2 linked regions of the Drosophila melanogaster genome follow. Changing the gene in region 1 together with any one later gene gives a genetic interaction. Each region holds a gene or a part of one and is shown on either strand. Other genes may lie near its edges.

Region 1 (14,552 bases):
GTTGCTCCTGTGTCTGCGTTAGTGAATGCAATCAATTACGAGTATCTAATGGCAACCGCCGTCGAGGATTTGCAGATACAAATGCAGATGCAGATACGGATGTATCTGGACAGGATTTGTGCGAGTTTGTCACTGCCGGATAAAGCTGCTCCTCGTTATTTTAGAGAACTATACAAATGCAGATATGTAGATGTAGTTAAGCAGAGATATATGTATACATATATACTTGTTATGCAAGCGAACAGTGTGCATGTCCAAGTGAATGGTGAATTAGTGGCAATTGACACGAGAATATTTATATATGTATACACATTATTTACTATATGTATGAGAGCAAATACGACTAAGTTCAAGCATGTATACCAAACCGAAACCGAAATCGAAATCGAAATAAATGCGCTATTTTGGTTTTTGTAAACGCAGAACTGGCAAACTTGATTCTAATTATGTATGAACCCCTCATAACCATCCATCCAACTGCATCTCTCATTTAAGGTATGTATGTTTCTATAGTTATATATTCAGTTTTCATAGTTCATTTCACATTTGCAGTTCGACTTGCGAGGGAGGCGTTGTCAGCAGTTGAACTTGGGACAGCAGCCGGGATAGGGTTTGCTCAGATCCTCTTCCATTTTGCAGGGCTTCAAGGAGGCGATGGCCGGGCATCTGGATGGCCACAAGTGGCAAGGTGGGTGAGTCAAGGAGTCATCAATCCATGTAGAAGCTACTCACCCCAAGGCAGTCACCTGTTTGGGTGCCTGGCAGGTGTACTGCAGGCAGCGACCTTCCGGCGTGTACTTCTCTCCGGTCTTGAACTGATGCCCACCGATCTCGCAATCCACTACGAATGAACAAGATGAACATGCGGGATTGAATGGTTTGTGGCGACGATGCACTGCATCCACTTACCGGCGAACACCAGCAGCGAGTGGGCGCCCAGAACGAGCAGGCAGAGTACGAACGTGACCGATTTCATATTATGTAGCTAACTGATCAACGGATCGCTCGGCTGGGCGACTATATAGTTCCACTTGTTTCGGGGTGCGCCAGCGATTAGACTGAAAGGTCAAGATCCCTGTGCTCCCGTGCGATTGCGTCTCAGGGGTCCTCGGGTTTATCAAATAGGTGGAAAATTCTCGTTACATACAGATTCGTTCCGGAGGCTGGCGAAACAGCTGCAGTTCCAGTGATAACATCATTAGTTTCTTAAACTATATATGTTTTTATTTAACTAAAGATTATACTTGTTACTAGTACTTTGGCTAACTTTGCCACAAGATCAATGGATTATAGTTTAAATAGAAATAGTAATTCCGAACAGATCGATGCTTTTGGATCTAGTATCTTGTATCTAGTATTCGTCGGAGCACTCGAGTTGGGGACAGCACTCGGGGAACTTGAAATCATAGTCGTTGGGTGAGAGGTGGCAGCCAGGTCGCGGCCATGGCTGTTTGTCGCAGCTGGAAGGGATTGGGCGAAATGGGATATAGTGAGGGCATGCGATCAAATCTCGAAACTTACTGGCGTATCAACAGCAGATAGTCATCGGTGCACTCCAAGCGAATGCAGTAGCCCTGCTGACCGGAGGGCAGAACGTAGCCATTGAGTGGAACGGCCAGGTCCAACTCCTCGTAGAGGCAGTGCTCCGCCAGGCTAGGGTGCTGCGTGTGACCACGATACTGGGTGCTGAACCCATTGCCGTCCACCGATGCGGCCAGCAGACAGGCCACAAAAGCTAGGGACATCCAAGCTGCTCCGGACATGGTTGCTCTCGTTGTGGAATAGCATTGGGTCGTCACCGGAACTCATCTCTTATAGGCGGCGGGCCATCCATCTTATCAGCTGGCTATCAACGCTCTCGTGATTCCGATTTCGGCTGCGTTTGCCTTGCTCTCGTCATCTGGAAGTGGAGGAAGTGGCGCACCACGTTATCGCACTTGCTGACACTCGAGGATGTTGGCCTAGACCAGGAAAGTATGCACCAAGCAAATGCTATCAGGTATTCGCCATTCCACTCATGGGATAGTTGCAAAAGTAATTCAGTTTTTCAATCAACAAATATTGGTTAAGCCATTTGGGAGCTGGGTAACTAATTATTAGTTGGGTAAACCATTTCAGGAAATTCTAGTAGGATTAATAGAAGAGGAACCCAAAATGTAGTCAACTTTTTAGCAAAAGTTAATAACTATACCTATAGCTTATATGTAATTAAGAAGTAATACGACAATCTTACCAATTTGCATACCAAGTAATGTATCTATCATAATTAGTTAGTCTATCTGTATTGTATCTATCTATCACTTCATACTGTATATATCTATCTATCAATACTATATCTATCAATCTATCTATCTATACTGTAACTATATATCTATCATATATCTATCATATATCTATACTGTATCTATCCATCTACAATGTATCTATCTATCTATCTATATATACTGTAACTAACTATCTATCCTGTATCTACCTTAAGTAGATGGTTAATTTGCGATTTGTTATAGAAGATCTATGCTTAGAAGATCTTAACTTACGAGTTCTGGTGGGAATCGTGGACTTGACTCCATTCCATTCAATCCCAATCGAATCACGGCGGAATTAACTAATGCAAATACAGTCCAGACGAAATCACAATGCACTTGCACTCGTGAGTGCCATTAAATTTGCATAAATGTATCTAGGTACATATTACGTACGCGGGAATCAAGTGTTGTGTGCTCAGCGTACACTGCGATAAATGAATGGGGTACATAGTACATACATATCTCTATACATCTGAATTGAAGATTTGACATAGGATTGAGGATTAAGCAGGCATTTTAAGTATATAACTACTTTGTTTTATTCTATAGAATATAATTGACAGTCCGCTTTCTCCAAGTGTAGCTGGCCCAAAATTCGGTGGCACAAAAGAGTTATTTGCGTGCCGTGATTACCGCTCAACCTTGCCACAGTTTCTCGAACCGTGTCACTTGGCTGTCGGGGATTCCGCCTGCCAACTTCACTCCTCCGCTGCTGGCCGATCCCCGCCAGAACTCACTCTCGCTTTCAGGGCTGGCTTAATTAATTTAAATTCTTAATTTAAACTAGAGCTGGCGGGCGGCGCAAAGCGAACGCCTTAAGTCGGTCGGCAAACAAAAGCCACAGATGCTATCGCTATCTGGTTGTGCACACACACACATGTGTGCCACATACTCGTGGTAGTACGGCACATGGTTCATTATTAATTTTATATAAAAGCAACAACAATTAATTGTAATTGACTCAGTCGCACGGGCAGCGCTCAACAGCCAAGTCGGATTTGGATTTCGAGCAATCGTGGTGTTGCCTCTTAGCTTATCCCCCCGAAAGAAAAAAACCACCATCACCTCCTCCTCCTCCTCCAGCTCCTCCGCTCATTCGGCGACTATGCGAGCCGGAGTCGCCTGTCTCCTGGTGCTCCTGGGCATCTGTGGAGCCGCTCGGGCGGATCTTACCTACCGCGGAAATGCAGTGCATCCAGGTCATTAAGAAATGGATACTGTATTCATACTATACTATCTAGATAGTAGTTAGATACTGTAGTGAAAACTAGATACTAGAAAATGATATCATATGAACAAATTCATATGAATCAAAGGAATATATTATAGATTCCAGATATACAGATGCTATAGTATCTATAATGACTACCAGATACTATAGTATCTATAATGTCTCTTAGATACTGTAGTAATATCATATCAATCAAAGGGATATAGTACTATAGTTCCAACCAGATAATGATCGTTTATGTGCTTTATGTTTCCAGACTATCCTGGCCAGTGCTACTACGAGGAGCTCAACCAGGCCATACCCAAGAAACAGTCCTACAAGCCCATCAATCGCGAGGGCTACTGCCAGTCCATCTACTGCAGACCAGACTATGTCCTCGAAATTAGCTAGTAAGTTAAAAACACTTATTATGAATATATATTTTTAATGCATATTTACTTACGTTTACTTCAGTTGCGGTCGCCATAATTTGGTGCCCACGGAGAAGTGCAGGATCGCCTCGGATATGCGACGCACCTTTCCGGAATGCTGTCCCAAGCTGGTGTGCCAGGAGTCCGAGAGCAACTACATCTAGCTTAGACTCCTGGCTGCTAAGTATTATTATAGAAAAACATACTTCCTAGTATTGTACATTTTTATTTTGGCACAATGTTTGTTAAATATTACTTGTAAGTTCATTGCGTATTTATGTTGATAGGTTTATTGTTCTATGTTTTTGATATTCTTGCCGGAAATATATATGTATCTATTCTAACAAAAACCCAAAGAATGAAATTCATTGTATATATTTTCAGCCAAATGATAAGTTCATTGTAATTCAAGTAGGTTCTCCACAAAATTTGTTGCTTTAAAATCAGCCTAGAAACGCACAAAAACACTGTGGAAAAGTAAAGTCAATATAATAAATATAAAATAGAAATAATTTATAATAAATTTAATGATCTTGCTTTAAACTAAACTTTTGTATGTTCTTGCATTTTATGCGGATATTTTTGGGATTTGTGCTCAAAATTCAAAACGGAATGTTAGTAAACGGCAATGATTAATTTTTAATTTAATTTTGTTCCCTTTGAGACGATGATCCATTTGGACACCTTTGTACGATCTGGAAGAGCACACTCTCTGTGGAAACTACGCATCTGATCAGTCCGCCTCCCTGGCAATTAAGCAATTAGCAAGTGCTCGCGGAATCCCACTCAATCAAGCAGCTGAAAATGCAAATCACCACTGACTACTGACTGGCTGATTCGCAAACGAGCCGCGCTCCAAGTGGCTCTTTTGGGCAACCTATAAATAGGCAACGGGCTGGGCCAGCTCTCGGTTCAGTCTCGTCACCGCGCTCCAAAGATGCACAACCGTTGCGGATCCATTTGGCTGCTGGCGGCCGTCCTGCTGCTGCTGGCGCTCCTGCTTCCGCAGGCACTGCTGCCTACCGTCGATGCGGGTAAGCTGGCCATGGGATCTCCTACTACTGTTCCATATGTCATATGTAATCATATGTATCTTGTACGTAGCCAGCGAACCCGTGTGCTCCTACCGCAACTCGGAGGATGAGACCATCTTTCTCAAGTATCTGCCGCTGCTGAGACGCGGACAGGACTACGTGGACTTCGGCAAGGATGGCAAGTGCCTCAAGCGGGCCATCTGCACGGACACCTTCAAGACCATCGTGGAGGAGTAAGTGCATCATGACAGCGATCTTAATTAGCAACTTAGGTTGCATGAAGAAAACAAAATATTTCCTAGCTGAACTTTGCCCCGATCTCCACATGATTCTAACCAAGCCATCTACAATATCTTTTTTTCAGCTGTGGACAGCAGAAGGTCACCTGCGGCAACAAGGATCGCTTCACCGGAGTTTTCCCTGCCTGCTGCCTCAAGTGTCCCTAAATCCGAGGAGTTTCATTAAGAACAGTGTATTCAAATGTAGAAATGTAAACAGTAGACGATTAGCTAACGGAATATATGTGCTACCCATTCAATTACAGGGTATGCGATAACTATAATCTAGCATCATTTCCTTATCATCTTTCAAATGCAAATCCAGCTCCGTTCGTTTAGTTTTTTTTTCTTCGACGTTTATTTTTTATTTCTTTAGTTCTTAGATTAATAACATGTGGATGCGAATTCGGCGGCCTGTCTATAGGTTATTTTCTCATAGTTTCCAGTGTTTTCCTTTCTTTTCTTTTTTCAATAGTATTAATTTTCCTTTGGGGGGACTCAGTTCATTGGCCAGCTATTGCGCTCTCGCTCGCTCCGAGCATGCCGTCTCGCTCGTTTCTAACATTCACACTTTTGTTGAAGTAACTTGGTTTTTTCTTCCTTTTTTTTTTTGGGTGGAAAAGAACATTGGTGTTGCAAGTTTTAAAAAAATACGTTCTGCGACTATTTATTTCTCTTGGTTTTCGATTAAGTTGCTGTTGCCTGCTGCTTTAGCACTTTAATGACAATACTACTTACTTACTCCTTTTTTTCCAAGAGCCAACGTATAAGGAAACAAACAAAAAAAAAATCAATTATAACCGACTTATTAATGAATTGGGGATCTAAAATTTAAATACAATCGACGTATTAAGAAGGGCTTGTTTGTAGATTTTCCCAACGATCGATCGAAGAACATAGGCTGGCAAATCCAATAGTGTACGGATAGTACACTACTGCTAATGCTACTTCCTCTAATCCGTAATCCTTCATTCCCTCTTGCCACGCCTTTTCATACGGTGCCTGTGATTCAGTGTTCTATGTTCGGTGTGGTGTTGTGTGTTGTGGTTTTGTGTTTGAGTGTGTGTGTGTTTGTGTTTTCGCGCAAGTCGGATTTCGCTCTAAGTTAACTACAAATAGGCTTATAGCTCCTCGTCCTCGTCGGGCAGTGCGGTCGCCTGGGCCTCCTGCAAGTCACGCTCGATCTGCGCCTGCCAATCCTTATCCATCTTAACCTCGGGCGGCAGCAGGGCTGGCATGGCGACAAACTCCAGGTTGGGATCACCAACCAGCTTGCGCGCCAGCCAAAGGAATGGTTTCTCGAAGTTGTAGTTCGATTTGGCAGAAATATCGTAATACTGTTTGACAAAAAAGAAGGCACAAGCACAATAACGTTAACAAAATTTCAAATAAAAGTTCAGCTTTTCTTTATTTACCTGCAAGTTCTTCTTTCGGTGGAAGACGATGCTCTTCGCTTTCACCTTGCGATCCTTGATATCGACTTTGTTGCCACAGAGGACGATTGGTATGTTCTCGCAGACGCGGACTAGATCGCGATGCCAGTTGGGCACGTTCTTGTACGTGACACGCGAGGTAACATCGAACATGATGACGGCACACTGGCCCTGAATGTAGTAGCCATCGCGCAGCCCGCCGAACTTCTCCTGGCCAGCGGTATCCCACACATTGAAACGGATGGCGCCACGATTGGTATGGAAGATCAATGGATGCACCTCCACGCCCAGTGTGGCCACGTACTTCTTCTCGAACTCACCGGTCATGTGCCGCTTGACAAAGGTGGTCTTGCCGGTGCCGCCATCGCCGACTAGCACGCACTTGAATGTGGGTATATCCTGACCTTCCTGAGCCATCCTTCTAAGCACTCGGTATCTTCGTTAATGCAAAATTTCTGGAACGGTGAGCTGCAGATGGAACAATTGCGTTTGGCTGGTTAGCAACTTGCAACTACTATGCTACTTTATATATTTAAATATATATATATATAGCGGAGCTTGAGCAGGAACAGGAACAGGAGCGGAATGTGTTGGCTAGGATGTTGTTGGTTCGGCGAGCGCCAGGCGACTGACTGCCCGTCCTGCGAGCCGTCCAAAATGTGACGTGCACAATGGATGCGTCAAAGCCCGCCAAGGACGGCGACCAGCTGTTCGGCGAGGAGCGAGCAGGATAACGACAAAGGACACTGCAGCTGCCGCTCCCGCTGAGCCCGCAAGGATAAGAAGGCCGAGATGCCGAGCCAGAGCGAGATGGCCACAGGGTATGGCTGGCTGTGTGTGCAGGTAAGCAGAAATGCCAGGCGCACCAAACAACAACAACAACAAGAAGGCGGCAGGGAGGCGGAAGGATATACTCTGCATACTCGCACACATACATTCCCACCACGTTTATGCGCAGCCCAAAACAGTTTGCCACACAAAAGGAGACCCGGAAAACCCACGGCGGCTCTGACCCACAATTGACCTGGGTAATACTAATTTAAACCCGAGCATAGGAAACCAAAGTGAATAATAAATGCTGACATTTCTGTTCGCAAATAATTAGCGCGCATAAACGCTTGGCATAAGTTTCGGAATATTAAGCGTAGAATTGGAGACATTCAAAACATTCGAAGAAAAGCGCAGTGTAAACAAAATTTTCATACTAAAGAAACTTGATCGCGTTATTGTGTTTGTACTGTATATAGCATAACATTTGTTTATGATTTACTGCGAACTGTAATCAAAGATATATACAAATTTAAGAAGTTATAGAGAAGAAATATTGGTAAATATAGGTTTTGAATGAAATGGCCATATAGCAAATAGAAGTACTTTTTAAAAGAATTAAAGCAAACTACCAAGTTCATCAATAAAGATGACCATATTTTCAGCATGAATCAAGATCAGTTTCATCAATTTGAAATGAGGTGAATAATTTGAATGGATATATTTCGTAAAACGCTGAAAAAGGCATTTGATGACTCATTCCTTTTGGAGACTGAAATGAGTAACTTTTTAAGGATGGCAAGATTGTGAAATTCCTGCGCATCACACCACTGGTGCTGCCCATAAAAGCAGGAAAATTCCTTATTTTGAGTGCCGCCTGTAACGCCGGCAAATTACAAGCACACACACGCACGCATGCACTCGTATTGGTGAGAACCTGTGGACGCTGCGAAGCGCGCCAAAAAATAAAAATGCCGACATACAAATAGTGCAGCGTTTTCTTAGCTCATTTGCTGGCTGGCGAACAGCGCAGCAGTCGCGATTCACGTGAAAATCGCCAATCGCATTTATATATTCTAAATAACAAATCGAATTCTAACACACATACGCACCCACACATGCACACGCACACGGACGACGAACAGACGCAGACAGACGACGACGCCGACGTCGCCGCCGGCAGAAGAAACATGAAGCAAATTCATTGCCGTTTTTTTTTTTTTGCGATTCATGTTTAACCTCACAAAATGCGAATGGCATGGCAGTCGGCGAGAATGTTCCGATGGCCAAAGGACAAGGACATTTGTCCTGCTTCGGTGTGGCGTACGGAGGAGCTGACAGTCCCAATTGGACGGCGCTTTTCCACTGCAGAGCTTGCCATGAGCCGGAAAAGGAGGGATAACAGCACGAGGCGGCACCACGTCGTTTTTCTTTTTTTTTTGTCAGCGAAATCTCTGGAAGCTCTATACGCCACTTGTTTTGTACAACTCTAGCCGGCAATCGGGCTTGTTAACCGGCTGGACTTGGTGGCCGGAAGCCGGGTGGGCGGTGGCCGGGTGGACAGACAGCAAAAGCCGCTGGGTCGGGAATAAAGCACACAATTCCAGGCGAAGCGACGCCGTCGTCCATATTGCATGCGAATTTGGGGCGTCACTGGCGTCATGCCGCACAGCACTTATTCACATCACGGTGGCGAATTAGCCAGGCTGGCAGCGAATTTGCACACAATTTAAAGCCCATTTTGTAGTTCTACTTACATTTTGCTCGAAATTCCTAGAAAACCACAACTTTCTTTTTTGCCGAAACACAATGCAGTGCTGCCAGATTTGAGTGATAAATGAAGTATAGCTGTTGCCTCGATGTTTTCGTTATCGGCCAGTGTGACCGTGCGAGCATAGAGAGGTTCCAAATTCTGGCGCTTACTTATATACCATCCACACCATTTGCAATTATTTAATATAATATATTAAATATATGGCTTAGTAGATATACAGAACACGTGTAGTAACAAAAAAAAAAACTGTCTATCAAATTGTAATGAAACTTTTTGAATAAATAATAAATAAAATTACGAAACTTTTGAGATGCCGTACGACGGAATACGCTCTGTGAGCTGAGTTAAATAATAAATATAAATAATAGTGCAATGTAATAAAATAAATAATAATAAAATAAAGTCAGCGGAGAACTCTTATCGTTAATAGGGCGGTTCATGATATTTATTGGCTGTAGTACTGGAGAAGGTGGCATTTAAACTCCTTCCACTTGTAGACGATTTTCTGCAAAACTGTAGATAAATTTTTGATGAATTTTTTAAGGATCATTACTTAATTAGGCCTACATAAGCCTATAAGCACGGCATTCCGGAACACGCTCTGTCAACAACACCAAACATAAATGACTTTCATGGGTACTTTTTTGTATAGGCTTGTTCATATTTTGACCCATAAAAAAAAAAAAAATAATAAAAAACTTTCCAATGTTCAAAAATTTCACCGTTCCGCCATCGACTCTAACTCATCGACGCTAATTTGATGGTCTTGCGTGCATTTTGGAACACTAAATAACGAAAAATTAATTTTTAAAAAACTTCCCCATGTTCAAAAATTCCACCGTTCCGTCATCGAAGTTATTGACGCACATCGTCCTTATTTCTCCAAATTCATAATTAAACGCATATTAAGATTAAAAATTCGCTACGAGAACGAGCACATGTATTCATCTATCTGGCAACGCCACCAGTTGATGCAACACATTTTTATCTTAAATTGCGAAGTTCCTCGGCCAGATATCAGTTACGAATGTAGTGATCAATCTATCACATTTTCTAACCACATTCGGTTTCAATTCCCACCCCACTCCCTTTCGAAAATTTGCCCAAAATTCCCACAAGTGCATCAATTGCAACGCATCCGAAATCAGTCGCGTGCGTGATTCGTACGATAACCGTCGTTATATATATAGCGTCAATATAATCGGAACAAGATGAGCAAGTACCATAAGGAGCGCAAGTACGCCAAGTTCAGGTACTACATGGAGAAGTACTACGTGCTGCCGCTGGAGCTGAAGAACGACATCATCTACTGCCAGCGATCGCTGCGCGATTTCCTCAAGGTTCACGCGGTAAGTGCACCATGGCTCCTTGGCGAACACCAGTTAATTTGTTTCCTTTGTCTCTGTTCTCTCACTTACGCAGTTGGTCTCGGAGGTCTTCGATGAGCAGGCGGATGCGGTGGGTTTAATGCCAGAAGACTGCAAGTCTTTGTCCTTTGTTCTCTACGCCACGAGAATTCCCGATTCCCCAGGGTGAAGGTGTTCGCCCGTAGAACACCACCCAACCCCCCTCCCACTACACACAACCAAAAAAAAAACCAAAACAAAGAACTGTATGTAGATGAAGCTATGAAACGTAGTACTTAGTTTAGTTTTTTCATTTCAAAGAAACTGATGTACTCGCGATAATTTTCTAGAGTTGGGTTAGAAACATGAAAGAGGCAACTGCGTTTTAAGCAAAACTAATAATGCACAAAAATTGGGTCAAATGTTTTCATTTCCAAAGGAACCACGTTCGCATCTCTGAATTTTTTCGAAATTACTTTCACTTTTTTTTGAAAAGAAGACATATGAGAATTATGTATATGACGAAATCCATCATCTATATGAGCAAATATTGCTGATTTCTTAACAGCATTAATGCGCATATTCTTTAATGCCGCTTTATTTCAATATTTTTCCAACGTGCATCCTTATCCATCAATCTCAACCTCATTTGTGATTGAAATGTATTCCCTTTTTTGCTCAGTGCTTGTGGTCATTAGCGTTTTTAATGGCCATTAGCACCTGTGCAGCTTCCACCTAACAATCCCAGCCACACCTAATGTGACACTCACGTTCTTGTCGTCATTAGGATCCAGTGCAGATGCGTCGCATCTTGGACGAACTGGAGGAGGAGGTGTACGAGATCAATGCCGAGCAGCAGTTCCTTCTGCTACGCCTCAACGATAGCCTACAGGAATTCTCCGTGAAGCTGAAGGAGAACAACATCATGTTCCTGCCGGACATCGCCCATGAGTACGTTTCCGCCCAGGTAGTGCCTTTGATCGTCGATCCCAACTATAAGATTATGCCACAGTCGGTGATGGCTCGTGATACCGAGGAGATGCTTATTCGCAAGCACTTCCTGCTGAGCCAGGACGATGATTCTGGTATGCCGCCGCTTAAGCTCAGCGAATTGGATGAGAATATACCATTGATGCTGGCTCCGCCGGTTAGGGGATTGGGTCAGCAGATCGCCGCCGTTAAGCCGGAGCCAGAGTGGCTCCAAGGCGATGAGGCGACAGTATCAGTGCCACCGCCGCCGCCACAATCGAAGTCGAAGCTGATGAAAGGGTCGCTGGATTCGACCCCGGCCAAGCGAGAGAATATCAGCCGCAGCTCACCGCCGCCCTTGGCGCCTATAACCCAAACCGTAGTGGCTGAGTTGTCACAAGTACCTCCATCACCACAAGCAGAATCTCCACCAGTAAACTTTCACGTTGTGGCCCAGAGTCGCAAGAACTTGCAGCAGGCATTGAGAAGGGCCAGAAAGACGAAGCAGCAGCCACGTTTGTTCGACGACGAGGAGGACCTGGAGATCACCAGTTTGCAGAACGATCGCAACAAGAACAGAACCAGCGATGGCAAGGGGACACCGCCATCGCTGGAGCCAACGAATGCTGCCGCCAATCAGGCAGCCAAGAAGACCATCCCACAAATGTCTAGTCAGGGGATGGCGAAGAATAATACCGCGAAGAGCAAAAACACGTGCAGGAAATCCTCGCCAACGCCCACATCCAGTGGACAGTCGCAGCCAGCGGTATCGTCATCCGGCAGCTCCGATGATTCCAGTGCCGAGCTGCAGCAGGAGCAGCAAAGACGCGTCGCATCCGCCGCCCAGTGGCGCGATGAGCCGCGCGAGAGCCGCACCCAGCCGGAGGAGTACGGCCAGGAGACGTTCCTCGGCCTCTTTGAGCTCTACTCGCCGGAGGTGCTCAAGAAGCTCAGTCAGCGCCACTCGAAGCGCAAGCGTCGCACCGTTCAGAATGCCAGCGGAGTGGATTTTCACTATGGCCAGCAGTTGAATGCCGTGGACGCGTTAGTCATGGGCGTTCGTGGTCAGAAGAAGACCAAGGAGAAGTCCGAATTCCTGCTCTCGCCGACGGAAAAACGTTTGCAGGCCAACTCGAAGAGGACGTACACACGCAAGAGCAAGTCGCCGGACGAGATTTCGGAGAAGAGCAGCGCAGGAGGAGGATCTGGCGCATCGGGAACTGCGTCTTCATCAGCCTGTCAGCATAAAGACGGCGGTGCCTCCAAGTGCCGCAAATGCCGCGAGTGCCGTGAATGCAAACGTCGTGTGGGTGAGTCATCCACCAACCACAAACTTGTTGAGTTGGTTTTCTTAAATTCGTATTACCCATTTAATGATTTTATTAATATTTTATTGTTTTGCTTGTTTTTTTTTTCCCAGAAACCGAAGCGATGTACTGCCACTTGTGCAGCGGATTATACCACATGGACTGCCACGAGTTCACCAAAAATCGCCAGCTGATGCAGCTGCAGAACTCTCGCTGCCCCCCATGCTTGCGCGAAAAAGATAAGTTGGAGAAGTAGTGCGTTGCCAAGTGAGCCATTGATGTTAAATGTTTCTCATTCTTGCATAAAGGATTGTATATATTTGAATCAACCCTAGTTGGTATGCTGAGTTCGTGTTTTTATATTAAAATTTATTATTACTTAAATGATTATATGATTATATAAATGATTATTATATTCTTATTTTATAAATATACTAATTAAAACGAATGGATATTCTATTTGCAAACAAAGAGAATGGTGTTACGCAGCAGGAGTGATTTAATTAGGTATATGAATAATATTCATATTGTTTCTTTTTCGCAAACAATCGAGTCTGTTCCACTGATAGCTGATTGACCCGAAGTCGGGATCTATGCCATATATAGCCATAATCAATGGTTACATATTGAATGTAAGTACCTTATTTGCGATCGGAAAAATGATACGAAAAAATGCACGAGTAAACGGCAATAAAATCTTAAGCAGAGCAAGAACATTCGATTTTAAGTAATAACAAAAAATTGTTTGTATTTATCGAACTGTTGATATTACATTGAGTGTTGCTGAGTATTGGAAGATGTATATACACATTGCCGGCTAAGAGCACAGAAAGCAAACAGTCTAGTTTCGCATCCGCTGGAGCAGCCAGGAGCCGAGCAGCGGCAGCATGGTGATGAGGATCATCTGGGGTGCACTGGACCAGCTCCTCGCGCCGTTGCACAGGTCGCCCTGGCAGAAGCACATGTACACCTTCTTATAGTTGTAGATGGTGTCCGCACAGCGATCCATGTTGTCGTCCGGACCGCGCTGCACGCACATCCGCTGGATGGCCAGGTCGTAGTCGTCGATGGCATAGGTGCCGCCGCCCTCGATCACCTTGCCGCACCAGCCGCTGGCGCACGGGATGGCCGCCACTCCCGGTTCCTGCTCCACGTCCGTTGCATTGAAGGTGAAGGGGTCCTTGCAGCTGCCCAGTTCGCCACGGGATCGGCACTGATAGCAGCGGCGCAGAAGGCCTACAATTGAAAGTTCAAATATTTAAAATTTAAAACATGGTTTTACTGAGCGTTTAAATCTAAAAGTGAATTAAAAATGAAAATTTTAAATAATATGCAAATGGAACAATTAAGCAAATAACAATACAACGGAAAAAGTTAGTTTTTAATTTGATTTCGCCGTTTTCCCCATGTGAAAATCGAATTATATCTCTCTCACACACACACAACACATATGCAACTTAAACAAAAGACTTCAACGAGAACACGAACTCACCATCGATTGAAACCAGACTTATGAGAAAAATCACAGCCAGTAAAAGGCTCGTAAATTGCATGGTCCCGTCTTCTTATTTCGCCTACTAACTAGTCAATAATGATAATAATGAATAATAGTAAATATATGTAAATGTTAAGTCAAGGAAGTTTAATCGTGAATTAGTGTTACCAGGCGCTGGAATTCCAGCGAATCCAAAAGGTA
Region 2 (15,896 bases), on another chromosome or scaffold:
TAACAATAGTTACGAATCTTATGCAACGAAATCCTCTCGAGGGCGCGCTGCTTTTAGCCCCAACTTGTTATTAGTGACACGAAGTCGCCAACTAATGATATAGAACTATTCGTTCGAACTTGGTGTACAAATGGATTTTCAATTCCCAACAATCGGGTAAATTATTAGATGCAGGCTAAGTACGAAGTTTATGGCTTAAGTTTTATTAACTCAAGTTTTTATCAGCTTTTGGAGATCCCTCGGATATAAATTATGAAAATAGCTTAGCAAAATGCATATTGTATGATCTCAGTTCAGATATATGTATATACTTTAAACAGATGTAATGCAGTTTCAATGACTTTCATCATGTGAGTTTTAACTCATGTAGTTAATGTATAATTATATTGATTCAAAGTAAAACTCCATTTCTGATCACGACTCACCTTCTAGAAGACGGGCCAGCTCCTTGGAGGCCTCCTTCTGGCGCTCGGGTGTTTCGCGCAGCTCCTTGATGGCCACCTCCTTGCCCTGGGCAGTCGGCTCGCCCAACTCGAACTGGAGCGTGTAGTCGCCCACCTGGAGCGTGGGCAGTTGGTCGATGTCCGACAGCATGGTGGGTACTCCTGGAAGGGAAGCAGTTGGGGTTCGGTTAGCGACAGCTTCTGTACTTTGAGCTGGGGCTGCGGGTTTCACACTGAGAGCACTGGGAACTTTGGCCAACTAAATAACTTGAGCTAACTGACATCGATTGCCAATTAGTTGTCATACTTCACAATTACTACTTACTCATTTTGCAATTGTTGCTGCTCTGGCTGAACTGAAATTATTCTGCGATTATATTAAGCTATGTGCTTTTTCTAAGCGGTTCGCCGCTGTATATTTTCAGTTTGCCAAATGTAAAATTGTGCCCTCTATTTATAAGAAGAAAAAAGCGTAGAGATTTCAATTTATTAGCGAGACACAAGTGACTCGGAACCGGCTCAACTGCATCGAGTTTCTAGACTTTCCCGCCAGTCAATGCGATGATCGTCTAAACATATCCATATATGTATTCATTTATTTATTAATCACCTGGCCGACCTTCACCTTGACATTCGCAAATTGCTTAAAACGGAAGAAGAGGCCAGAGATTCGCGAAGATAATGCAATTCTTCAGAGATCAGAAAATAACGTTAGGAGCCTTGAACTAAATTCTGGAGACACTTGACGCGTTCTACTTGAGCGTAATTTCCAGTTAGGCAGGTTTCGAATTGCGAGATGAGGAGCCAGGGTCTGTGAGCTTATATAGTGGGGCAGTTGGATATCAGAAATTAGCACACTAGATTTCCCATCAAATCGGAAATTAGCGCTGAAGATTTCCCATCAAATCGAAAATTAGCGTTAGTGCTGGCTCGAAACAAAAGACTAGGAGATTAGCATCCGAAGCGCTGACATTGAAAATTGCTACCAATTTCGGCTAGATGGGCCAGGTGATTTGCTTAGGGTATCGTCTGTTTTTGCATTCATGAATGATACACAAGAGTCTACTGAATCGCTGATGTTGTGTCTGGGAAAATACGAGATCTTAAATAGTACACACGGATCACAACACAACACAAGACAACACAACACGACCGAAACTAGTTTGGCCCAAACTTAAAGGCTATAATGGTATAATGGCTAACAGTATTCCGCAAAGACGGCCCAAAAAACCAGCTGCGAGTGACGCGTGCAACGGAGCTGAAAGCCCAGATGAAACTGTTGCGGCCAAAAGCGCGAGTCGAGATTTTATGCCAGGCCAAGAATTAAAACTGGAATTGTGAGCGGAGCGGCATGAGAGTGGGTGTCGCCGATCGAGACGCCAGTGCTGCCAAGTGGGTTTGTTTCCCGACAGTAACTACTTCTGCTATAAGGGGGTCTTTTAACTATAGTTGTTTAATGCTTTAATGCACCAAAATGAAGTAGTTTCAACATAATAAGCTTCTACTGAAACATATATTTTCTTGCTTGCTTGCACTAGTGATGGGGAATAACTATATAATGCTATTATATGAAACAAGTTGTGCACCCATTAAGTGATCATCACCAGCTGAATCTGAACTTGAGCATGACATTCACGTGCCTCGCAAGAGCGTGGAGTTGCTAGATGGAGAGACACATGGAGTTTGCCCAGGGAGAGCGAGCAAGCTTTACTGGGTCTGGGGTGCATCGTCATTGGGAAATGATGCCACCGCCACCTCAAGCCGGTTTCAGTTTCGCTTTCAACTTGGACTTGCCTAATTTATTCGGGTTTTCTTCGGGTAATCGCCCACAGTACTATTGGGCTCTTGAAAATCCCTTGGCATAGGCATTTCCCATCGCGACCCTGAAGCCCCGTGCCCGTGCATAGCCATCCGGTTTCAATGCTGCCCAGCTACACGCCAATTAGTGCTTACACCTGTTCGGCGTACCTACACCTGGGGTCACCCCACTAGCAATTTGTTGGAGACCACAAACATTGGACACTTGAAAGCATCTTCAACTATTTATAGATCATAGTTATAGATCATAAGATCGCATCTAATGACACCGCATCACCATGTCATATCATATGTCCCTATTTTCTCAGCCCCATGTGTTAAGCCAGGCATATTTGGTATAATTAACACGTCCCAAAGCCGAGCACCCTCTGCGTTGTGGACAGCAAATGGTTCCCGCCCGGTTTTGGACAAATCGGTTCAATCGCACGATCGCACGTGCGAAGACTTCGGCCATTCATGGATACGGATTTACGTTGCGATGATACTCTCGATTTCATTACGGCCAGTTTCGGTCATTTGGTCAATTTTTATTGGCCATCTCGAAGCGGATGCTGACGAAAACTGGGTGGTACAAAGCTGCGAGTATATGGAAAAAACTTGAAGCGAGTAATATGAGTAATTCTGGGGTTACGACCCATTGCAATGTCAACCTTCGCCCTTCGGTTTTTTCTTTGCAAAAAGCGTGTTAAAAACCCTGCATGAGAAACCTGCTTTTGAAGAACGTGACAATGGCGGTTCAAAAGCAAAAGTGCTTTGACCTTACTCAAGAGATGGAAAAAGTACAAGTCGGTAGATATTACTGACATCGAACAAATGGATTGTTACATGAATACTCGCTTGATGTCCAAACAATTTAGATGGCATATCAAAAGGCATTGCAAAAAGTGTTGTTTTTTTTAAATTATTTATATTTTGAATACCTTTTAAATACTCTTTCTCGAACTAATCGTGACTTTCAATTACCAGCACAACTGTATATAAGTTTTTAACAAACTGGTGTATAGTTTTTCGAGCAACTGTAGCCACGCGCCTTATATAAATACATACGTACGTATATAGAAAATAATTCTATTTGAGGGAGATAATTCTAAGAAAATGCATATAGTACTTGCAATAAATATACGATAAAAAATGGGGTTCGGCAGATTTCGCTATTGCTCACCAAGTGGGAATTCAGAGGGCAGGCACCTCATCGCAGATGCAGTGGTCAGCATGGTCATGGCGATGCAGATCGAATGAATACACACACAAGTTACTTTACAACTAACTAAACCGGTATGCACATGCAAATGCTAGCGTATGTAAATAAATTAATATTTCTTTATTCAGGCTGATCGAGTCGGGAGCATCGGCGGTGGCTAAATGGGTCAATGTCGTCGGCGAGTTACTGAACTTTGTCTGAAATTCTCGAGCGACGAGTGCGAAAGGGGGGAATGCATGCAACAGTAATGAGCAAAAGGCAATGCAAAAAACACGGACAGACAGTGATGCCTCGTAAATAAGGGCTGAGCGTAGCTACATAGTGATAGTGATGGTGATCTGGCTAAGATATTTTTATGGTCCCTAGCGCTACACACTCAGAAATGCACTCTTAAAAAGAAAAGCACTCTATATGTATATATATATACAAATGTATATATGAGATCCAATTACTCACCTTGTTTGAATTGAAAATCGGCTAATCCACAAATAGTTGGCTGGTACAGTGGAAATCCTTCGGAACTCCCGTTCGACTCCGATATATGTACCTAGTGAGCTTGGGTCGCGTTTGAAGACTGAAAATACAAAGCTGCTTGTCAAATCGTTTTATAGCCGCCCCTTTTATGCACTGCGTGCATTGCACATATGTATTGTACGACAAAGTTATAGTTATCAAGATATATACATAGGTCGGTCGGAATAGTCGGGCACTCGTAAGGCCAGCGCGACTTAATAGGTCATTATAAGCGACCGATTCGAGTTAAGAGCTCTAAAGATCACGTCGCGAATCGCCGCATGGGATCTTCTTTTTTTTTTTTGGCTTGTTTTGCATAAGTTCACCTGAAAATGGTTCACTGAGCTCAGCATTAATTTTATGTTATTTCCATTGTTTTTAGTACGTTAAAGTGCCAAGACAAGTGCGGTATTTCTCACGGTGCAGCGCACTCAATCGATTTTCCACAGCAATTAACATTATTAAATATAATGTTGCAGAAGGTACACTGAAAGTAAGTGAGTACTACAAAATTCAAGAACTTTCTTCACTTTGTGTGCACTTTTAGAAATGTTCTTGACTTAAAACAATATAGTTATTATTATTATTATTGAAAAAATCCGTACTTTCTATCAGGAAATCCACTTTGCTATATTTTGTAACTATATACACTTTGTAACTTGTACTGTTTAGCACTTTCGAGAAATTCTCATCTGCCACTTGCGAAAAGTCCACTTCCTATATTTGTTCTAGAATGTAAACGAAGGAATATTTTCATTTCTCGTCGCAAAATACGAAATTTTTAAGTTAGCTATATAGCATCGGGGCACTTTCGCAATCGCGGCACAGCTTTATATATGTATATATATTTATATTAAGTGCGTGTTCTGAGCGTTTCGCACAGTGTATCGTGGTTAATCTTCTGATGGTTACGCGACTTGGATGCAATTAGACTTGAACTTTTGAACGCTCCGTACACGAGTAGTTTAAAGACTAATCGCCTTCGCCACTGTGACTGAGTGAAAAACGAGTTTGTAATCCCTCTTACGGATCGTAAGTGTGTAAGTTATTGCTTTGGCTATCACTCCTCCCGTTCGACACAACAGTAACTTTCTGCTTTTCTGCCGGACACTAGCTAATGTACCTTCTTTCGACTGGCGTGTCCGCGTTCCACGATCAAGTGATCAACTGACTGACGGGGGCTGTGGGTAATTCGAGCTCATTTGCTTTTAGTTTCAAGCACGAGCAATTAATTAAGTATTTCACTGCTCGCCGTTTCCAAATGTATTTCCATGCCATTTCTTGCGCTTGCCTGAGCCCATTCTGCGTGTCGGACCGCCATTCCGCCATTTAGCCATTCGGTCATTCCGTCCTCCAGTCAGACGATCACCTTCGAGCACGGAGCTACGTCAGCCTTTAAAGTCCGGCGGAATTTCGTTGGGCAGCCAAGTGCAATTAGCTAAGTCGAAGTACAGAACGCTGAAAGTTAAAAGTAACCCACTGATGGCATTAATCAATTTACGAACACGCAATCCCAGCGACAGCTGTTGATACGCACAGCGCGCTTCACATGGACATACAGACAGACAGACGGACAGACACTCCATTATCTATTAGGTATTTACATGCATTTAATTTGAATGTCAAATTCAGATTTATGGCCTAGCCTATGAGAGTTACAAACAATGAGAGTCGATTACATATGAATTTACACCTATTTCTAGTTCTACGTATGCATATCGATTCAATTCATCCATTCATTCCGTTGTATTGTCGAGTATAAAACGTACATTTGACTAATCATATAGAGATATTGTGCAGACAATTGTTGCTAGATATTGCTTACGATGAACTACAAAAGCGTTCTCGCCTGTTTTATACGTTTAAAGCTTAGACTACGTACAAAAGGTTTGGGTTAGTAATATGTCAACGATATTCAATGCTAAAGTCTTAGGTAGCGCTTAAGTGTACGGATGAGTTACTCTTAAGTACAGATCAAATCTATGCGAAGGAGAATTACGTATTTACAATACAATTGTCGGAGACTCCTGGTTAGATCACTGGAGTCGGCCGAATCCTCGCTCTGCGACTCCGTCGCCTCCTCTGCAATCATTTGGGCCGAATCTTCTCGTACATGAATTTCTGCACGTGCTTGTTGTCCGGCTGCATGAGCTTCTTCTTGTTGAACTCGAATTGGGCCAGCGCGAAATCGTACAGATCGTTTTCCATTTGCCAGATTTTTGTCTTTTGAATGGATTTAATTGTCGATTCGCTGGGCGGAAGCTTGGAAGATGTCACCCGCAGATGAGATTTGTTTGAATTATGATAGTGCTCACGAAAGCCGTGAAAAATTCTGCAAAAGAAAAAAAAAGAACAGGTCAATGAAGCAACTGGAGTATTCTAAAACAGACAATAACATATGGTTGGGAGGCACACCTTGGAAGGGATCTCTCGAGCAGATCCACAAACTCGTACATCTGCTCTGTGACTCCGACTAGGAAGTATTCGTTGACTAGATTGCGCTTGGCCTGGTCCAAGGCCCAACTGCTGCCGGGTTCCCAGCACTCGGCTGCATGGCCACAGAAGAAGGGTATCTGCAGCCACATGTTTTTGGGATCACAGTCGGGTTGTTTCTGCACCACGCACTCATCGAAGGTCTGCAAAGATGTGTGAGGGCTTTGGTTACAGGGAGGTTAATACCTTGATGCTCTACCTACAATTTTATTGCCCGCCTTCTTGCGGACTAAATTCGGTCGGTAGTTGTCGCCAAAGCGTAGAAAGTAATAGTAGGAGACAAGTCTGTCGAGCGGTTTGCGCACCAAATTGATGTAGATGGGCTTGTGGGCGATTTGGAATCTGCAAAGGAGTAATGCAATTGAGACGGGCTCTGCTGGATTGGCTAGATGTTACCTACTTTGAGAAGTCTAGGAAGGCCATGTGGCCGTGATAAAGAGCTGGCTTCATCTCGTGCCACCTGGAAACATTGCGCACGAATTGGATTTGATTGGGAAGCGAGAGGACGTGCATGTTGGCAGTGACATTGATGTGCAGCACATGGAATTTATTGGGCTTGCACAGATCGTATGCTATGTTAACAAAGCTGGTGGATCCCGTTTTCGGTACGCGATTGTAAAGCACCACTAGGTGCTCCTCGAAGTCAAAGTCATCGGTGGTGGACGAGGCATGCTGATCTGGGCTCAGAGAATCGCCCAGCTTGGAAAGCGGCTTGAAGGCTGCACAAAGTAGGTAATGGGTGTAAAAGTGATATGGTTTTGCCTAACTACCGGACTCCACTTACCATGTTCCAGGCGAATCTCTGACCAAAGCAACCAGTAACCTGCACAGGTGACCGCGCACAGGGCTATCAGGATCAGCCAGTGGGTGGGTCGGAGCAGAATCCACATCTTAAGCAGTTTCCTAAACATGCCTCGTGTCGGTTTGCCCTACAGGTCAGCACGGTAGCTCATATCAGCGTATTTATTTCAGCATAATCTCAGGTCGTTGTTTTCCTTGTTTTTTTTCTGCAACCAACATCGAGCAGTGTTGGTCAGCAGCTGCTGGACAGTGCTGCAAGGCACTGAAATCTGGTGAATCTGTGGGAATGTGCAGCTGTAGCTGAGATGACTAAATTAGTGATGGAAAATAGCTCAAAATGCTAGCTCGGATAATTGCATTTAATTTCCAGCTAGGAATCCGTAAATTAATTGCCTTATATTTATAACTTCAATAAATATGTTTTTCCTAAAACACAACACAGAATATTTTAGGCCAGTCACAACCAGATCTGCATCACCCTTCAGCAACCCTTTTGCCTTGAGCATCACTGTTTTTATTAGTGTGACCACCCTTGCCGGCAAATAATACCAAGCAATGCCAAAATTCTAGCGCCCATTTTTGCGAGGTTAAAATAAATTTCGCAAGCCGGCTGCAATCGCAAAGTACAGTGCGACTTATATACACTCGTATAAAATAATTCCATTTAAAAGCAAGCATGTCCACCTTTAACTTCGCCAGCATGGCCGCCCAACTGGGCCAGGAGCAGGGAATATCATTCGAGAACAAGGTGCTTTCCTGGAACACAGCTGCCGATGGTAAGTTTGGGTGACGCTTTGGGTACTCCATGCAGTGGCTATATTGAGGCTTTTTACAGTCCAGGATGTGGTGGATGCCCTTAACAAACAGACCACCGTGCACTATCTGAATCTGGACGGGAACACACTGGGCGTTGAGGCCGCCAAGGCGATTGGTGAGGGTCTGAAGCGTCATCCAGAGTTTCGGAAGGCGCTGTGGAAGAACATGTTTACTGGTCGTCTCATATCGGAGATTCCGGAGGCACTCAAGCACCTGGGAGCCGCGCTAATTGTCGCGGGCGCCAAACTGACAGTCCTGGATCTCAGCGACAATGCCTTAGGACCGAATGGCATGCGAGGCTTAGAGGAGTTACTGCGATCCCCGGTCTGCTACTCGCTGCAGGAGCTGCTGCTGTGCAATTGTGGCCTTGGTCCCGAGGGCGGTAGTATGCTGTCCCGGGCTCTGATCGATCTGCATGCCAATGCCAACAAGGCGGGCTTCCCGCTCCAGCTGCGTGTGTTCATAGGTTCGCGCAATCGTCTCGAGGATGCCGGTGCTACGGAAATGGCAACCGCATTCCAAACCCTCAAGACCTTCGAGGAGATTGTTCTGGAGCAAAACTCCATTTACATCGAAGGCGTCGAGGCCCTTGCCGAATCCTTCAAGCATAATCCTCATCTACGAGTGCTAAACATGAACGACAATACTCTAAAGTCCGAGGGAGCTGAAAAAATAGCTGAGGCTCTTCCCTTCTTGCCACTGTGAGTCGGTTATAAAGTTTTTGATGAGGGAGAGTGAGTGAGTGTTATGTGATATCTTTTTGCTTTGCAGGCTGCGTGAAATGAGCTTTGGAGACTGCCTGATCAAAACTAATGGCGCCTACCACTTCGGTGAGGCTCTGGAGAGAGGAAACGAACGACTGGAAGTTATCGACTTAGGTTTTAACGAAATCAACAGCGACGGCGGCTTGGTGTTGGTGAATGCTATGGGAAACAAGCCCAAGCTACGCATCTTGAATCTAGATGGCAATAGCTTTGGAGAAGAAGGCAGCGAGAAGATAATCAGCGAGATGAGTAAGTTGCCAACTGCTGCCGCACTGCAACCGTTTCAGCACCAGGAAGAGGAGGATTTGGAAGATGAATACCAGGCTGACAAGCAGGACGCAGATTACGAAGAGGAAGAGGAAGTACACGAGCACGCCAACGATACTACCGAAGAAGCAGATGAGGATAGCGAGGGCGACGAGGACGACGAGGAAGACGAGGGAGACGAGGAGTACAGCAACGTCGCGGAGGAGACTGCCTATGTCACTACGAATGCCTACACGACCAAGGTTAGTTTATACTTCGGAGTACTGTGCAAATGGTAACAGCAATTAATCGAATTATCTTTAATTTTAAATTTTCACAGCTTTTTAACGACACAACCAACTCGATGGCCAGCGAAACTTTTGCGGTCGCGAACAAGACGATCAGCCAAAAATGCACTCCAGAGAAGTTCTGTTTGAGCCAGAAACCCTGCTCCCAGGAAGATTTCGATTCGCTAGATATGGATAACAAACTTGAGGCTTTGCAGTCGATTGTCAACGTAAGATATTCTCAATAATTAGAATGCAATTAGAGTAACGTAACATTTTTGTACAGCAATTCACCGGCGACAACCATTTGCTACTGCTCGTCTTCACCACCTTGAAGTGCGCGCATTTGTCGCAATCCTCGAAAGCTGCGTTGGATCTGGCCGTCTCCTTGTACCAGGCCACCTTTGACTATGCCATCAAGACAAAGCAGGAGACACGTGTACTCAACTATGTACTGATGCAGCTCCGTTTGTTGCCCTGCAAGGAGGTATTCCATTCGGACTACGATGTCAAGAACTGTCGATTTGCTCTTCGCGAGGCTCTCAAGCAACCAACGTTTGCCAACGACAACATTAAGAATTCCTTTAAGACTTTCCTGGAGGGTGCGGAGTCGTAAAGAGAATTAGAGAAGAGATTACCTTTATTTCCCACTTTCCGATTTGTGTAGCTTTCGCGAATAAAAACGTATTATTCCTAACCCGTAGTGGTGTTTTTTTTTTACCCAAAAAACCAATCGAAATTTAATGTATTAGCCATTCGGCAAAAGTGATTTATTTACATGAAGAAAACTCGTATGAGACTACAAACTATCTTTATGGAACATGTTAATACATCGATATTACGTTTGTAAATTCCTCTTGGTGGCTTTCTTGCTGCTCTGGAACAGAATCAGCTACAGTGAACGAATGTAGCGAAGTGTTTATCTATAGTTAATAAAAACACGAATTATAAAACATTGACGTTAACATCGAGGAGAACATTGAAAGATTATAAAATAACGAACGATCGTGGCGAGCAAGTCCGCAAAAAAAAGTGCCTCCTCGAGATTCTCGATGCGGATAATGCTGATTCTAAGAGTCCATCTTCTATCAATATCCTGTGTGGAAATGTGTTCCTTAACAATTAAAATCAGAATCATCATCATCATCTTCATCAATCTCGATATCATCATCATCGCTTTCAATTACAGCTCGCCTCTTCTTGGGCGGAGCTTTCTTTTTGGCTCCTCCACTGCTCTCATCCTCTCGTCCACGCTTAGCTGGACGCTTGGGCGAATCATCATCGCTGGCATTGCCATCATCATCAGAGCCAACGTTGCCACCGTCTTCCTCCTCATCCGAGAAGAGCGAGCTGTAGTCTATCTTCTTACTGGCCTGTCGACGTCCAGGACGCTCTGCACGAGGAGTTACTTCCTCCACGTCATCGTCGCTCTTTTTCGCCTAAAGATGAAAAATATTAATTGACAATTAAATACAGATTTGGGTTTAAAAACAAATATGGGCAATTACTGAAACACTTACCTTGGCCTTGCTGAAGTCAATCTTGCTCTGCTTGAGCCCGCCGCCGTTCTCCTTCTTTTGGCGCGGCTTTTTTTCTCCCGGCTCCTTCTTGACAACCGCCTTCTTGGCCTTGGGTGAGGTCTTAGAGCCGCCCTCGACCATTGCATCAAATTCGTCCACCTCATCGCCGCTGGCATCAGGTTCGGCTTTAATCTGCTTGCCCTTCGGTTCCTTCTTCACTTTTGGCTCCTTGGGCTCTTTGGGTTTCTTCGGCTCCTTAGCCGCCTGAGCTACCTTGGCAGCCGCTGCCATTTTCTTAATGATTTCTTCGGTGATCTTAAACTCGACGGGTTCTCCATCGGGATCTGGGAATACGTCTCCGGCACCCGCTCCGCCTCCCATTGACTTAACCTTTCTGCCCTTAGCTGAGGCCGACTTCTGGCCCTTCAAAGCCTTCGCGGTCTTGAGATTGATCCCCTGCTCTTCTGCGCGCTCCTTCTCCTCTACTTCATTTAACTTCGATTCGAGGGCATCCAAATCATCCAGCCAAAGCATCTCCGGCGTCTTCTTGCGCAGACTTTCCAACTCGGACAGTTTAGTGTCGCGCTGTTTGAGTAGCTCGTTTTTCTTCTCCTCTGTCAACATCCACATGGACATACCCAGAAGGTAGTCAAACTTTTTGACATCAGTTAGTTTCTTAAAGGCCTTTTCCGGATCGACTTCCTTTTCCTTCTTAGCCTTTGAGCTGACACTGGGAGCTGCCTCCTCTTCTTCTTCGTCCTCTTCGTCAGCTTGCTCGGCATCCTCCATTTTAATGCGGCGCTGCCACTCCTTGACGGGATCGGGACGATATCCACGCTTCAACAACTCATCACACATGGCCTTGCGCTGCTTGTTCTCCACCACCAGCTTCTTCTCACACTTTTCGAGAATAAAGCGCGCCTGATCACTGAGGCGATCAGCCTGCGCCGTGAGCTGGCCGACCAAAAAGTCCCTCCGGCGGGCGTAGTACTCTCGTCGCAGTTTGTAATACTCTTTAAGGATATCGATCGCGGTGGGGAAGCGTCGCAGACAGTTGTTCTGGTCGAACGCATGCATCTGGTTGGTGGACAGCGTCGTGGTAAGTTTGAACACTCGGTAGAAACCACCTTCTTCTGCATGAATGCGCTCAAATTCTCCAGGTGCGAAACTGATCACAAAGCGAACGGTGGTGTCTGTATGATACTCCCTGTACTCGGAAATAATACCCTTAACCTTTTCGGTGCCGTTTGATAAAGGCTCCAGGACATTTTCCTTGTAGTTTTGCGTCCATACGCCCACAGGGAGTTCACTGATTTCTAAACGGTTTCCGGACAAAATTTGAATGTTACCAGTCTGAATATAACGACCATCCGAAACATACTCCATGCGTCCTAAAAAGTTCTTGTACCACGGATGCATCACACTTGGCTCTTGTCCGTTTATCATCTTCCTTAGATTTTTCATAATCTCACGAGGATTGTAGTTGGATATCTTCGTGGACCATCCAGTTCCTATGCCCTCGGCTCCGTTTACCAATACCATCGGTATGATGGGCAGATACCATAGTGGCTCGATCTTTTGGCCATCGTCCACCTGGTAATCCAAAAGTGGATCGTCCAAAGGATGGTAGATGAGTCGCGTCAAGGGAGACATTATAGTGAAAATGTAACGAGCGCTGGCGCAATCTTTGCCTCCCGACAAGCGGGTACCAAATTGACCGCGTGGCTCAAGCAGATTAATGTTGTTGGCACCCACAAAATTCTGAGCCAGATTCACGATTGTCATCTGTAGGGATACCTCTCCGTGGTGATAGGCTGACATCTCCGCCACTGATCCGGATAGCTGGGCCACCTTCACCTCACGCTTGTCATTCCTCTTGAAGCAAGTGAACATCACCTTCCGCTGACCCGGCTTCAAGCCATCCACCAGACTAGGAATGGAGCGCTCATTGTCAGCATTCGAGAACAGCACCAACTCCAGATTGATAAAGTCTGCATAGGTGATGCTCTTGGTGCCCTTGGTGTAGAGATATCGCTCTGGCAAACCGAGCTCCTTGCGACGCTTCACCTCGTCCATGTGGTTGGTAAGCCATACCTTTCGCGACTCGATGTGCTTCTTGGAGAAGGCCATAACAATGCTCTCATCATCCACCGATCCATCGTACTTAAATAAGATGCGATGGCGATCCATGTCTTGAAAATACTCTTTCGCCTCCTTGGAGGTCGAAGTACCCAAACCCTTATAGTACTTTATATTGTACGTATGGTGATTAGCTGTATCATTTTTCCACTCCTCGAATTCGGGTAGCGAGTAGAATGACAGCTCCTCGTTTTTCTTGGTTGCCTTCACAATTGGTGTAATGAACTCCTCGAGGAAGGGCAGACGCAGAAGCTCTGGCCAATTGGTGTGGATAAAGTTGATCAAGAGACCCTTGATGTGGGAGCCATCCTGATCCTGATCTGTCATGATCATCACTTTGCCATAGCGCAGAGTTTTTAGATCGTCCTCAGTGAGGTACTTCTTTTTGTATTGCAAGCCAATTATCTTGCATAAATTGTTGATTTCGGCATTCTCCGAAAGCTGCTTGAAATTAGCTTCCCGCACATTTAGAAGTTTACCCCTAAGCGGGAACACGCCGTAGAGATCTCGTCCGATCACGCCCAAACCGGATACGGCCAATGACTTGGCTGAGTCTCCCTCGGTGAGGATGAGGGTGCATTTAATCGAGTTCTTTCCACCCGCCTCGTTAGCGTCCTCCAGCTTGGGAATGCCCTTGATCTTGCTTGACTTGCGACCGCCCGTCTTGGCAATGTCATTTTGGGCCTTGAACTTGGCCCATGCCAGCACAGACTCCACGATGCCAGACTTGGACATGTTGTTGATGAACTTTTCCGAGAGGGTACACTTGGAACCGAAGCCCTTTTGTTGCAGAGTCATGTTCTCCTTGGTCTGCGAGTCGAAAGTGGGGTTCTCTATCAAGCAGTTGACAAAAACCCACAGATGGTTTCGGACCTGGAATGGCTTGATGTTGATGCCACCTGGAAGAGGTTCAAAGCAAATATTAGTTGTTGTTTAAGAAAATACACATTTTAAGTTAAACGTACCTTTGTTCTTTTTCTTCAGAACCTCGAGCAGCTGCTTAATGAGATTGTCTACCACATGGTCCACATGCCGACCGCCCTTGTAGGTAGCTATCGAGTTGACAAACGAGACCTGTTGGAAGCCTCGATCTGAAGGACAGCAAGCCACCTCCCAACGCTCGTTGGCAACCTCGTGGACTATCTTGATCGGTGGGCCAGAATCGTCGTCCGTGTTCTTGATGTGCAAATCAATATAGTCCTTGAAGTTGCGTACACCCAGTTTGTTGCCGTTTAAGAAGACGGATACTCCCTTGGATGAGGCGGCCACATCGTAGGCGCGACGCGACATTAGAGCCACAATATCTTCATCGAGACGGTCCATCTTGAACTTGGCCAGATCGGGACTGAATGTGATGCGTGTGTAGTCAGTGCCATTGAAGTCCTTGATCTGTGGGTTTACTGAACATTAGATGATGGTCTAAAATAAGAAATGTTATTTCCTTACCTGCACATCGGAGGCTTTTCCCATGTTGTTTCCCCAAGTCTGCTTGAAACTTTTCTTGTATTCCCTCGTGGCAGTCTCAACGGTGAAGCTGGTGGAGAATATGTTGCAGAGCTTCGCTCCGTATCCGTTCCTGCCGCCAGTGACCTTCTTCTCATCGTCGTTGTAGTTCGACGAGGTCAGCAGATGACCAAAGATCATCGTTGGAACGTACATCTTCTGCTCCTTGTGCATGGTCACCGGAATGCCCTGGCCGTTGTTCCACACGGACACCATATTGCGCTCCGGATCGATGTCGATCTTAATGGTGTTCATGCTCTTGTCTCGCTGCTTGTTATCTGCCGCATTCACAAGAATCTCGTCGAATATCTTGTAGAGGCCGGGCACGAAAGAGATCTCCTTCTGCACCATGCGGTTTTGGGAGTTGTCATACACCCACATCAGCTCCTTGGTGAACTCCACGGATCCGATGTACGAGTCGGGTCGCAGCAGGATGTGCTCCAGCTGCGACTTCTTCTGGTACATCTGTTCGATGGACAGGGCCTTGTTTCCGTTCTCCATGATGCTTCTGTCGCTGTGCTTTAGCTGAATCTTCAAAGAGTAAGCAAAAGGCATTTGTTAATGTAATATTAATATTAATAACTAATATTCCGAGCCATTGCCTTAGCTACTATTAATCACTCGTCCTGCGTTCTACTAAGTAAAAAAAAAACCAAAGCTACTAGCAGAAGACTACAGTACCCACCCAGTTAACAGTTGCTATTAGTATATTAGTAATATTATGTTCACGTTTTTTTTTTAATTGTTATAATACCAAATAAGATAGATGGCACCCAATATGTTTAATGGCCTCTTAATAACGGGGATGGTTGTGCGTTGGCATGTGATGCCAATGCTGCTGATGCTGCTGTTCAACAATTTTTTATTAATGAATGCGCACTGTACCCACGGTGAAAAAAAAAAACAAAACGCGCGCCCGCGCATTGCGTAAATGCCGTCCAGACAAACGCTGCAATGGAATGGGACTTGGCCAACATGGGAAATGGTTGGGTACGTCAAACAGAAATAACTGCAGATAAATTGAAAAACGTCAAACTAAGTATTATTTTGCCTGGTGCTACTGTACTGGGAACAGATTTTCAGCACACTTTGAAATACATAACAGCCCTGTCTCTTTGGCGGCAACGCTTGGCGTGCGCCGTCTGTTGCGTGAGTGTGCGTGTTTATTGGCGTTTGCCGGTAGTCACCGCTATTTATTATTTCTTATTAAGGTTCTTCGAGGGGTTTCACTTTATAGTAAACAAATTCAGGCCTACATACGCGCTCCGCGCTACAAAATCAAAAAACTATGGTTTTTAAAGGCCCAAAATTAGCTAAATGTCTATACCGGTATCGCCATTTTTAATTTGCAA

The links.
Region 2: of Ran (region 1) and RanGAP, changing one suppresses a phenotype caused by changing the other (phenotypic suppression), as found in Drosophila melanogaster (one study listed by BioGRID).

Annotation. Positions count from the first base shown.
Region 1 is NC_004354.4:11,139,269-11,153,820, forward strand, and holds Ran (Ran), read right to left. Parts: upstream 9,313-14,552; 5' UTR 9,218-9,312; intron 7,329-9,217; exon of another isoform or gene 7,148-7,328; 5' UTR 7,110-7,147; coding exon 6,675-7,109; intron 6,597-6,674; coding exon 6,381-6,596; 3' UTR 5,584-6,380; downstream 1-5,583. Other genes in the region: ssp7 (short spindle 7), read right to left, coding at 576-666, 733-841, 910-976; CG15199 (uncharacterized protein), read right to left, coding at 1,352-1,460, 1,522-1,763; CG15202 (uncharacterized protein), read left to right, coding at 3,412-3,505, 3,794-3,926, 3,991-4,111; CG15201 (uncharacterized protein), read left to right, coding at 4,885-4,981, 5,052-5,214, 5,346-5,427; Lint-1 (l(3)mbt interacting protein 1), read left to right, coding at 10,446-10,583, 10,657-10,692, 11,368-12,859, 12,970-13,112; rtv (retroactive), read right to left, coding at 13,698-14,092, 14,349-14,409.
Region 2 is NT_033779.5:19,437,241-19,453,136, forward strand, and holds RanGAP (Ran GTPase activating protein), read left to right. Parts: upstream 1-4,718; 5' UTR 4,719-5,015; intron 5,016-5,098; exon of another isoform or gene 5,099-5,487; intron 5,488-5,592; exon of another isoform or gene 5,593-6,063; coding exon of another isoform or gene 6,064-6,307; intron 6,308-6,390; coding exon of another isoform or gene 6,391-6,611; intron 6,612-6,671; coding exon of another isoform or gene 6,672-6,810; intron 6,811-6,868; coding exon of another isoform or gene 6,869-7,187; intron 7,188-7,252; coding exon of another isoform or gene 7,253-7,379; exon of another isoform or gene 7,380-7,510; intron 7,511-7,711; 5' UTR 7,712-7,945; coding exon 7,946-8,045; intron 8,046-8,104; coding exon 8,105-8,786; intron 8,787-8,856; coding exon 8,857-9,358; intron 9,359-9,435; coding exon 9,436-9,612; intron 9,613-9,668; coding exon 9,669-9,998; 3' UTR 9,999-10,077; downstream 10,078-15,896. Other genes in the region: CG10237 (uncharacterized protein), read right to left, coding at 426-605, 3,424-3,481; Hs2st (heparan sulfate 2-O-sulfotransferase), read right to left, coding at 6,064-6,307, 6,391-6,611, 6,672-6,810, 6,869-7,187, 7,253-7,379; Top2 (topoisomerase 2), read right to left, coding at 10,498-10,821, 10,903-13,940, 14,007-14,430, 14,488-15,045. UniProt on the Drosophila melanogaster protein: GTPase activator for the nuclear Ras-related regulatory protein Ran, converting it to the putatively inactive GDP-bound state. Trans-acting factor necessary for meiotic distortion.